Linked DNA regions of Neurospora crassa OR74A. The protein of the gene in region 1 interacts with the protein of each later gene in a pairwise test. Links are inferred from orthologs where the notes say so. Each region holds a gene or a part of one and is shown on either strand. Other genes may lie near its edges. The genes, in order: NCU03191, ypt-1 and NCU06404.

Region 1 (3,751 bases):
GCGACCAAAGACGCAATCAAGGTGGAGCAGGACATGGAGGGCTTCCAGCCGTTTGGCGAAATTCGCGTGGGCGTTGAGGTGTCGGAGGCTGAGATGCTGGCTCTGATGGAGGAGGATGGTGACGAGTGAAGTGGCTGATGCGGAGAGTTTTGCAAAGAATGCACACTTATCGGTGCAATCGGTGCGAGTCTTGCGGTTCTTTTCTTTATTATTATTTCTCGGTTCGGGTTGTCGGGTGGGTAAATGGGAAACGGGATGCTGTGCTCCCCTACACTGTGGGATCATGATTGAGTAAAGGGCCAGATGAGATACCATTTTGATTGGTTTGCTAAGCAATCATGCCTCTGACAAAAGCCATCTGGCGCATGCGGAAGATAGGATCACAGTTTCTGCGGAGGACATAGGGAGCTGATCTTCGGAGAAGTATAGGAAGGGGACAACGGACTTCAGGCAAACGGCAACTTTGCAACACGCTGGGGCTCACTTTGACAGAAGATTTGGCGACTGAGGAATTCACAACAAATCAGCTACCAGATAGCAGTGAGATGGATTGGCAATCGAATAATAGAAGTAAATTGAGATTAATCTTTTTCAAGTATGTTACGGAGTGTGCGGAGGGCGGTGCATAAGACAGTAAAGAGACCAGCCCTTACCATGGTCGTCACCAAGAATCATTCATAATCATCATCATCCACGGGTTCACGATCAGTGAAGACCATGTACTCTGCATCATCAACTGCGCCGCCAACGACCTTCTTCCACGCCTCACGGACATGATTCAGCGATGCATCGTCCATCAAGAGGGAAAGAGATGGGCCTGGCAGATCAAGAATCAACCCATCAAGTCGACTTTGCTTGACACCAGCAGCCTGTTCATAGTATAACTGATACAAGCACTGGGGGACTCGATCAGGGTCCACAGCGGAAAGCAAGGATTCAAGAGAGCGACTCAAGATCTCCTTGGAGTTAGGAGTCACCATTGTGGACAAGTATAAGACACCTGTTGGTTTCCAGTCAGCCATTTGCGCGTAACAAGTTATGAATGATGCGGAAGGGTTGAACGGATGAGAGTACGATCAGAATGTCAGAGGTATTTATCGTCAACGCCGAAGCTTGGACAATGTAGATAAGTATTCAAGATGTGGATCATCATAGTACTCGAAATGGGTAAATTGAAGGGAGCAAGGAAATAGATAAAACTTACTCTGACCATTGGGACATTCGCCAGTGCCGCTCGAGTGAGCGAAAACATAGACTGGGTCAGTGTTTGCTTCGCCAGGTGTTGTTAGTGAACCCGGAGGCAGAGCGACGACCGCAACGCAGGGAGTCGGCGCCCCGTCGACGGTAGACTCAAACAAGGTCTTGAGCGGAGAATCAACAACGGCCACTAGCCTGCTGATGCTCGGCTCGTCACCAACGCTTTCGTCTCCACGCACGAGCAACTTGGTTTTCACCTTGTCGCCGCTGGTCAACTCGAGCTCGATCTCGTCAGTAGCAGTCTCCATTGACTTGATACCAGCGCCAAGCATGTAGACAGCACCACCGACCGCACCGGCTCTACAGGCGACCTGGGCAATCTCGGAGATACCGCCCCATTTGGGATAGAGAGCAGCAAAGCCGGGGCCAAAGTGACCCATAGAGGTAAGATGGCGATGGACGATGAACAATCCATCCTCGGTAGTGATGCGGCCATCCAGCGAAAGCGTGAGGGTGATGATGTAGGTCTTGAGCTCGGTATCCATCTTGAAGTGCTCCTGTAAGAAGTCCACCAAGGGTTTATCGGCAAAAGGCTTCCAGGCATCTCTCTGCTCCGGACTGTCGTAGTCCAGCACAAACCGTAGAAACTTCATCAGTCCGCGCTTCGCCTTGGCCGATATAGCAGTAGTTGAAAAGACATCTTCGCGGGTGGAAGGAATGCGGACAAGGCTGGGTTGCTGTTCAGGGCCGACAGGTGCTTTGAAAATGTAGAACGATCCGACGGCGAGGAATTCCACCTGCCGGTACGCCCGGGAAGAAACCAATTGAGATAGCAGCTCCGAGCGGGCGTGGATCAACTGCGGTGCCAGTGCCAGCGAGTACGCTCTGGGGAAGGAGAGACCCACGACATCCGGCTTGGTGATAGACGCGGACCTGAAGAGGCCTTTGTCCTCGGTGGCCAGACGGTCAACCCAGGACTCAGCTTCTTGCAGGCTGAAAGCCGCTTCCGCCCCGCCATAGTAGTCGTTGGGGTCTATGTGCAAAATGTTCTTGCCCGATCGCGAGAGGGATCTTCAAGGCGGAGAACAGCTATGTCAGTCGGTCAGTTAGACAGGAGAACGATGAAAGTCGGATGAAGAAGAGCGAAAGAAAAGTTTGCTTACAGTGCAAGCAGAGACTGCTGCAGTCCGGTGCCGCAGATGACGACATCCCAAAGGGTATCGCCGATAGATCCCATCGCCATGACTAGGGACTCTGTGGTTCGCGGAACTGCCAGTCTGTTGGGAAGTAATAACTTGGGAAAAAGAACGAGGGTTGCAGCGGCAATTTTGAAATGAAGTTAAAGTTTGGTGCTTGCGGAGCCGGCAGTTCCTCGGACCGGTGTGGCTTTTTGAATCGGCCCCGCCCAAGCTTTCGTTTTTGTGGGTTTCTGTTGTTCGTCCCCCGCCTGACAAACGGGCAGACGCACGGGCCACTGGCGAAGCTTCGAAGTGGTCAAAACTCGACGTCCATCCACCCCAAATTTTCCTTTTTCTCTCATCAACCACTCAACGAAGAGACGCGGTTGCTGCTGCTGCTCTGCAGCCCAACAGTATCGCGGGAGTCTTGGGGGGCCTTTCATTAGGTTTCTCCGAAGTTGAGTGGCAGATTGATGCCACAAACAGCCCTTCTGTATCTCCTGCCTTAGAATCACCACATGTGAGGGCGGGTCGAACGATCGGCACATTTTTGCAACCATGCTATAAAAATTGCAAATGTCTTGACTGCTTTGCCAGCTCAACTCCGCGATGCCCAGAAGTTGTAGATGACTTTCCGACTCAGAAGCTCACACCTTTGCGGTTTTTATGCGCAGCGATGTTGTTAGCCGTCAAGTTATCTTGCATCATATCATGATGGCTTTGTGCGATCATCATCATTGATCACTATGTTGTACAGAGTCGTAACGGCTGAATTCGAAGCTGAACAGAGCGCTTTTGTTGTAGGATGTTCCAAGTGGGTATCCATTTACATCGCATTGCTCCTCGAGTACAAACAGGACAAGACAGGACAAGATGGTTTTGAATGGCACAGTCGCCCATCTCTCTCCGTAGAATTGGTGGTGTTTTATCCTCCTCCGGCCGCAACCAGGGTGCATCCAACATATGGGTATCTTCTTCGTACTCTCTGTCTCTCTGTCCATTGGCATGACCAAGCCGAGGTTCTCCGTCGAGATAATATTGACTCCTGATAGATCATGACTTCATGCCCATAGTCGGTGTTTGAAACCCCAGAGATCCTATGACTGCATCTAGACAAGGCCCATCATCCATCTATCTTGTCGCCGATCAACGTCCTCCACATCCGCCCCGAGAGGATCGCCCATTTTCCGCCTGTAGGCCGGCAGCCAGCCATCAAACTCCCCATCCGTGAAAGAAAACTCAAACTCGTAGTCGCAGCTCCTTCATTACACCTACTTCGTGTTACGAAGGGGTCTAAATATGATTACTGTTAGTGATCATGCATGTGGGAGGAATGACCGCCTCATGTGTCAAAGCGTGAGATAAGAGATAGAACA
Region 2 (3,751 bases), on another chromosome or scaffold:
GATATGGGAAAACGTAGGTAGAGATACGTATAGCGTGCAGGCAAAGTCACCATGGATGGGAAGAAGAGGGCCTGACAAGAGATGGAAAGTCGGATCCTGGCTACGGGTATAGTTGTAAAGCAAGCTTTTAAAACCGAGTGTCTCTTCAATCCTTGAAGCGGTTGATACCTGCGATTACTGATTGAATTGGGGTGCTTCAACACAACAAATCCTCAACTCTGATATGGCTGGCTATACTATCCGTGATATGGGACAAGGGGCATTTACCGACCGTCGATTGGACTTCTCATAAATATACTGCTGTCAAGACCCTGGAGAGTGGGTTATCCACAGCAGTCTGATCGTGGCCTTTGGATCAGCCGGCAGGATGTCCAAAATCTCAATGTTTACAGATCCAGTTAGACTATCAAACTCTACTAGCATAACCAAGTCCGTCACTTTGAGAGACTTCATCAAGCGCGAGTAACTATCGAGGACGTCTAGAGCTGGCTAAGGGCTTGAAGTCTGGTGAGCATTTGTTTTTTATGCATGGGTGTGCCTGTACGTGTGGTTCTTCTTGGTGTAAATGTGCCGGTCATCTCTCTGAAGCGAAAGGTTTCCTCTATGTGTGAGAGAGCTGTAGCATGGAAAGATCAGTGGGTTTGCCTCAAAACACAAAAATAGCAAAAACTGTAGTCTAGCTCCTTAAAAAAAAAACCAAAAGTAACAAATGTGTTTAAAAAAAAAAAAAAAACCGTGCCGCGTCCTCAGTTATGCCCAAGACCGAAAATACACACACGCAACACACACACCCCCAACATCATCAAGGGTCGTGGAAGCTCTCTAAGAAGCCCGCCGCCCATCCCATGTCTCAGCCAGCCACTCTTTCCCCCCTTGCCCTTTGCCAGGAATCGTGACGGACACTGGTGATGAGCCAACTATTAAGCTCCCTTTTCCGGTGCGTTCGATCACCATCCTCTTAGGCCCCACCCTAACCTGTCCCGGCAAGCGAAGAAGAGCCCGCGGAACCGTGTGATGAATTCCCAAGGTAGCATGTAAAGCCGCCCCAAGTCTCCTCCCATGTTCCTCGCAAAACCACAGAAGCAGAGCCGAAACATTCCCAACTGAGATCCCATTAGAGCAGCATTTGCATCACAGCTCAACCCAGTGCCCACGCCGTAACATTCAATCGCATCATCATGTCGTCAAACACCGTCCGATGCGAAACCGTAACGCCAAGAGCGCAACCAATGCCGCAAGGCACAGACGCTTTAGCAGCAGCCGCCGGAAGAGTTGTTGGAGACGCCGTGGCCGGGGGAGACGTTGACGCTGGCTTTCGTGTTGTTGGTGGCGATGGAGCTGCCCATGCGCTCCTTGATCTGGCGGGCCATGGTAAGGAAAGCCTGCTCGACGTTGCTAGCGTTCTTGGCGGAGGTCTCGAGGAAGGGAATGCCCAGGCTGTCGGCGAACTCCTGTTGGTTGATGTGTAAGTATGTGGCTTAGACACGAGGGTTAGGGGTGGCTGTGTACCTTGGCGACTGTGTACTCAACAACCTTCTTGTCGGTCATATCGCTCTTGTTGCCGACGAGGAGCTTGTTGACGCCCTCGGTGGCGTAACGGTCAATCTCCTGAAGCCATTGCTTCACGTTGTTGAAAGAGTCCATATCCGTGACATCGTAGACAACGCAGATGCCGTGGGCGCCACGGTAGTAGGAAGAGGTGATGGTACGGAAACGTTCTTGGCCAGCGGTATCCCACTGAATAAGCGACTGGGTCAGCGAATTTGGATTTCCAAAGTGTCCAGGAGTGCCGGGGGGTTGCTTACGATCTGGAGCTTCACGGTCTTGCCATCAAGCTCGATAGTGCGAATTTTCTAGCCAAACGGTCAGCATGTTGATGGGGGTCGAACGCATGTGTTGCGCAGGCAGGATAGCAGGACGTACAAAGTCGACACCGATGGTGGAGATATAGGACTCGGTGTAGGTATCGTCGGCAAAACGAAGGAGCAAGCAAGACTTTCCGACACCGGAGTCACCGATGAGGAGGAGCTTGAAGAGGTAGTCGTATCTGGTTGCATCGTCAGCAGGGTTCTTTGGGGGTGGTGGCGGCGGTGATCGGTCGAGTCGCGAAAGGGAAGGGGACGACGTCGGGTGAAGAGGGGAAGCGGTGGGCACCCTGAAGGTTAAACATGTTAGCAATCCGTCATGGAAACAACATGGGATACGGGCGGCGGCGATGATTGTAGGTGGCGGCAGCGTGGCGGCGGCTTACGGTGATTTGGGAAGAGCAGGAGAAGGGCAACAGGAGACGTGATTAAACCTACTACTCAGGGTTCATGATGGGCAACGAGGGACGCGCTATGCGATGTGGTGGTGTTGGGTTGAGTTGGACAGCGAAGAAATAAGGCGGGTATCGTAAGGTGGACGGTGGTGGAGCGAAAGATGGATGGTTTCGCTGAATGAGATTAGGTGTAGGTCGTTGGGGGTGGGAGGTCGGTCTGTTGGTTGATTGATGATGTGGAGGATTGTAGAAGTCTAGTGTAGGTGGGCGGATGGAAAGGCAGCAACAGCACGCAGCATAGAACCTGGAACGGGCAACACGCAGAGCAACTTAACACGGGCAGTTGATGGAATGGGAGAGCGCCCTCGGCTGTCCTGGCTGACTGCTGGCAGCGAGTGGCAGTGGCAGCCCACCCACACCACCCGCACACTCTCCGGGCGGGGGGGTGATTGGCGACCGCCGGCCAAGAGGCGGGACACTGATCCATCCAAAACAGGGGACTCAAGCGGTGACGATGCACGTGACGCAGCAGCCGCCTCCTGACCCTTTCCCACTTCAGTTGCGGTATGTACGGTATTGCACTAACAATCTTGGAGTCGTCCCGATGATGTGCATTTCACAGCTAAACAAGTCCCAAAAGAAAAAAAGACAAAAAAAAACAATGATGATGAAATGTGGTTGAGATTCCAGGTTATTCTCTGTCCAAGAGACGACAACAAAGTACGGCTACGGAACTTTTTTGTTTTGGTATACCTCGAAAGTGCTTTGGCCGTTGTTCCCATGGCTACCTTTATTATCGTGGACTTGGAGGCTGGGCCACCTGAGCGGTGTCCACATGGGCTTCCATTGAATGAATGAATGTATCAATGAATGAATGAATGAATGGATCAATGAATGAATGAATGATTCCCTTTTTTTTGGATTTGGGAGCAACATTGATTCACGGGTCCAACGGACTCCTGATCTTAGGAAGCTTCTAGCTTCAGTTAGGTTCCATCATCCAGCACATTTACATATGTATGCCGATAAGATAAGGCTCATGTGAAACAAGTGTACGAACGAAATGAGACCTCAAGGTTCTGGATATTTGACCACAACCAAAATTACGATGAAGCATATGTCGTTTCATTGTATGCAACTAGGTTGCTCTCAAAGCCTCCTGACCTACACAATGTCCATGGATAGAGTGTTGATGATCAAGATCCAACCCCACAAAACATCACTATTGGAATCCCTGTCCGTGGGGAGATCCGGTGAGCAAGTGGAAGCCGATCCACCCGATTACCGACCCTCTTATCAGCTCTGTGGTCAACCATCCGAGCCAATCCGTCACTGACATCATTCCACCCGCTGTGCGGCACTCTTCGTCAGAGAGACAAGTCAACCACTTGGCGTTTTCACACTCTTGCAAATTGCATTCAACCCGGCCTTATCTTGCATCGATCCCAGCCCTATACACACCCCATAGTATACATACTTACACTGTCCATC
Region 3 (3,737 bases), on another chromosome or scaffold:
CCACGGGCATGTTGCTGGACTTTTTCACGCTTCACGCAGGGGCATAACCAGGGTGCAGGGTCACCCAGGGGCCGCCTTTCGTGTGGCGGGAGGGCAGGAAAAGGCTTTGGTGGAAGAGATCATTGGGCCAATATGAGTTATAGATCCATCAACGGATACTGCGTCTCGTGCGTATAGACTGTTCACCGCCCTGCCCGCCTTTCTCACCATGTTGCTGTGAGACCGCCCAGTCGCCTGTGTCTGCAGCTTCAGCTGGCCTTTCACGATACTCCATTTTGTTGAAGAAGCCAAGAAAACCCCTTAATCAACTTTCCTGGTAAAACAAACAAATAAAGACAGCTGGTCTTCTGTTGGATGCGCGAATGAACGGATGGTCTCGTTTGGTCTCGAGGCTCACCTTCTTCCGCGACCTCAGATATTAGTGGCAGAGCTCCCTCCCTGGTTCCTGAATCTTGGGTTGCATTCGTTGAGAGTGCAGTTGAGTTGTCTCTTTCTCACTCCGGTTTCCTAGACACTTTGCGCCATGCACAACAACTTGTCCTTCGAGCTCATCCTGTCATTCATAACACATTGGTATCTCTATCTACTGCAAGGTTGAAAGGGACACAAAGAATGGAATATCAGGTGGAGTTGTTGCGGCGATTGTAGGTTCTAGAAACTTGACCGATTACGTACCGAACAGTCGCGTCCCCTAGACCACGATCACGCGCTGCAATAAGCGTTCTTCCACTAGAGTGGAGGTACAGGTGTAAAGGGCACAGATAACCCCCCATCCCATACATAGTGTAGCCCGCGACTCGGTAGCACTTCAGGCAAGTGCGTCAACCCTCACATTGTACCTCTATGGTGGTGATCGCGTTGCCCGGGCTCTGGACTTCCACTTGCCCTGCGCTTTGGGACCCAGGTTAGCATTGATTAGATAGTATCAGACATCAGGGGCATCTGAGACATTCCAGTTTTCTTGGTTCCTTCCTCTCCACGCAGGGAGGTCTTGGACAAGTGGAAGCTACAAGACCCCTTTCTGCCTTCCCCGTCCTCGTCATTGTTCGCCTTTCCATTGGATCTCCGCACGGCATCGCCCCGTAAAGTTGGAGGGAGAGAGAGCCCAGGTACGCACTGCCCGCAGCCCAGTAGCCGGCCAGCCAAGTCTACCTTAGTGCAGGAGTAGGAGACCCCATCGCGCTCTCGCCTGTTTGTTCGTTCTGCGACTCCTCCTCCGCTGGACTACTACCTAACCCGTGCAACCGCCCTGCAGTTTTGACAGGCCCGTCAACGTCGCACTGCGGACACGCTTTCAACTACCACCACCACTGCATTCCACCACCACTCACTCACTCACCTACACTACCTACCTACAACTGAACATCATTCCTGCTCTGTCGCCTGTTTCCTGAACTGCGCATCGTCACCACCATTCGAGCCTCCAGTCTCCATCCCCATTCCCTTTCCCGCAACTACCAGTGTACAACAGCCCGACGATTTCGAAACGCCGGATTTCGATTGATATCCCCTTTGCCGAATTCCGGAGTCCGAACTACCAGAGAAACATTCCAAGAGATCGAAACGACGGGCGGCGGCGTTAACCCCCACACCAGTTCATCATGTCGAGTAACAGGAATTACGATTTTCTGGTGAGTCTTTCCTTCACCTCACCGCTCGCACTCTCGCGACATTCCTTGTGTTCCCCCCCTCCCCCGTAGTGGGTTTGGCGAGGTTATTCTGTTTCCAGACGCTGACCGGAGATACCGCTTCACGACATAGATCAAGCTGCTCTTGATCGGAGACTCGGGCGTTGGCAAGTCCTGCTGTCTGTTGCGCTTTAGCGAAGACTCATTCACACCGTCATTTATCACCACCATCGGTATCGACTTCAAGATCCGCACAATCGAACTCGATGGCAAGCGGGTGAAGCTACAGATATGGGATACCGCCGGTCAAGAGCGTTTCCGTACCATCACGACGGCATACTACAGAGGCGCCATGGGCATTCTTCTCGTTTACGACGTGACGGATGAAAGGTCATTCAACAGTACGTGAACCCACATTCCCATCCCGCATAAAATGGCATGACAGTTGCGGTCAAGAGGTGGTCCTTGAGGTCACGCTCGAAATGCGATGGATTGGTGCCTTTTAGATGCCATGCCTCTCCATTGCTCCGGATTCTGGCATCAGCAATCTCCCATCGGATACCATGCCATGTATTACCTCGCTCCTTTGCTGACGTGACCTTCTCTTCGCAGATATCCGTACCTGGTTCGCCAACGTGGAGCAACACGCGACGGAAGGAGTCAACAAGATTCTCATTGGAAACAAGTGCGACTGGGAGGAAAAGAGGGCGGTTTCCAAGGAACAAGGCCAAGCGCTAGCCGACGAGCTTGGCATTCCCTTCCTCGAGGTTTCGGCCAAGGCGAACATCAACATCGAAGAGGCCTTCTTCAGCCTCGCCAACGACATCAAGAAGCGCATCATCGACACATCCGGCAAAGAGGCGTCTGGCGGCTCGTCGGGCGTGAACGTCAGCGACAACAGCGGGTCAGGATCCGGCGGCAAGTGCTGTTAAGCCAAACGGGTAGCAGTTGTGTGGCGGCGAAACCCGACCCTGGAGCTCGCAAAAAAAAAAAAAAAAAAGCCCGCTGACAATCACGATGGCGATACGAGATCCGATTTATCCTCCCGAAGTATGGATGACAGCAGTCTGGCCTCATTCAGTTCTATTTGGCTACAGCCTACGTCTATCGAACATGCACCTGTCTTCCTGCGGGCCACCAATATGCACGGCCGGGTCTACCGCATGGAAACAAAGAGGCGGTGTAGGGGAGAAAGAGGGTATCTTCGGTCTCAAGACTTTACTATGGTTGTAATGAAGCTAAGGTCCAAGAGGAAAAGACGGCTTTAGTTATTCTGGAGGGCTCATTGAAAACCCCTTTCTTGTCACTCGGGAGCAGGAGGGAGAAGCGGCGCGGAAGATACGACGCGTGCTCATTTCCGGCTTCTCGCTATTGGGTCTATTATTATTGCGCTCTAGAAGCAGTGGATGGTAGGATGGATAGGCTAGGGAGCTGAGGACATCAACGACGATACGGAGACATGTGAGTATTACGACCGGCTTGATCGATATAGATGGATTGAGGTTGGGTTGGCAGCATGGACGAGGGGCAGAGAGCGAAACGAAACATTCTGGTCACGGAGTTTGGGTGCGATCTTTGGCTCTTCCTAATATATTTCATTTTCTTCTCTCTTGACTGTTTCCCCTTTGTTGTTCTCTTTCTGGTTTGTAGATTTCGTGCGCGGCCCCCCTTATAGCTGTATCTCCAAAGTATGACGATACGACACCCATAAAACAAAACATAGATAGATATTCCCTGAAAAGATGGGGACGCCCTGGTCAACCATGGCTAGTGTAGAGTATCAAGACGTATGACGTGAGCGATAACATTGTTGACATGAGCCACGAATCCACAAGAGGTGCTCTTTTACTCTTTCGGGAAACGAGCACAAAGAACGGGATAGATGTGGTCTGTGCGTTGCTCAACTTCCACTTGTCGGTCCCTTCGGTCTGACTGTTTACATAGTGCCGAGGAAGCCACCACTGCACTGCGGCATGCCACCACGCTCACTACAGGACCCATACTCGAGGGTGATGGGTGCCTTCTGGCTCTGGGCGCCAAGGCTCTTCCACCCCCTCCCTATAGGAGAGGGGGTGGATAAAATATGGGATAGTAAATTAATTTGGGACA

Evidence for each region.
Region 2: the proteins of NCU03191 (region 1) and ypt-1 interact in a two-hybrid assay, tested with the Saccharomyces cerevisiae proteins (2 studies listed by BioGRID). The link is inferred for Neurospora crassa OR74A from reciprocal best matches to the Saccharomyces cerevisiae genes MRS6 and YPT1.
Region 3: the proteins of NCU03191 (region 1) and NCU06404 interact in a protein complementation assay, tested with the Saccharomyces cerevisiae proteins (2 studies listed by BioGRID). The link is inferred for Neurospora crassa OR74A from reciprocal best matches to the Saccharomyces cerevisiae genes MRS6 and SEC4.

The regions. Positions count from the first base shown.
Region 1 is NC_026501.1:4,858,353-4,862,103, forward strand, and holds NCU03191 (rab protein geranylgeranyltransferase component A), read right to left. Parts: upstream 2,441-3,751; coding exon 2,361-2,440; intron 2,269-2,360; coding exon 1,205-2,268; intron 1,001-1,204; coding exon 672-1,000; 3' UTR 654-671; intron 505-653; 3' UTR 235-504; downstream 1-234. Other genes in the region: NCU03190 (Rec8), read left to right, coding at 1-129; NCU03192 (hypothetical protein), read right to left, coding at 3,647-3,668. UniProt on the Saccharomyces cerevisiae protein: Substrate-binding subunit (component A) of the Rab geranylgeranyltransferase (GGTase) complex. Binds unprenylated Rab proteins and presents the substrate peptide to the catalytic component B.
Region 2 is NC_026502.1:3,521,550-3,525,300, forward strand, and holds ypt-1 (small GTP-binding protein), read right to left. Parts: upstream 2,591-3,751; 5' UTR 2,318-2,590; coding exon 2,307-2,317; intron 2,048-2,306; coding exon 1,924-2,047; intron 1,854-1,923; coding exon 1,806-1,853; intron 1,738-1,805; coding exon 1,510-1,737; intron 1,452-1,509; coding exon 1,251-1,451; 3' UTR 370-1,250; downstream 1-369. UniProt on the Saccharomyces cerevisiae protein: The small GTPases Rab are key regulators of intracellular membrane trafficking, from the formation of transport vesicles to their fusion with membranes.
Region 3 is NC_026504.1:2,622,905-2,626,641, reverse strand, and holds NCU06404 (GTP-binding protein), read left to right. Parts: upstream 1-933; 5' UTR 934-1,601; coding exon 1,602-1,631; intron 1,632-1,761; coding exon 1,762-2,029; intron 2,030-2,240; coding exon 2,241-2,560; 3' UTR 2,561-3,427; downstream 3,428-3,737. UniProt on the Saccharomyces cerevisiae protein: Involved in exocytosis. Maybe by regulating the binding and fusion of secretory vesicles with the cell surface. The GTP-bound form of SEC4 may interact with an effector, thereby stimulating its activity and leading to exocytotic fusion.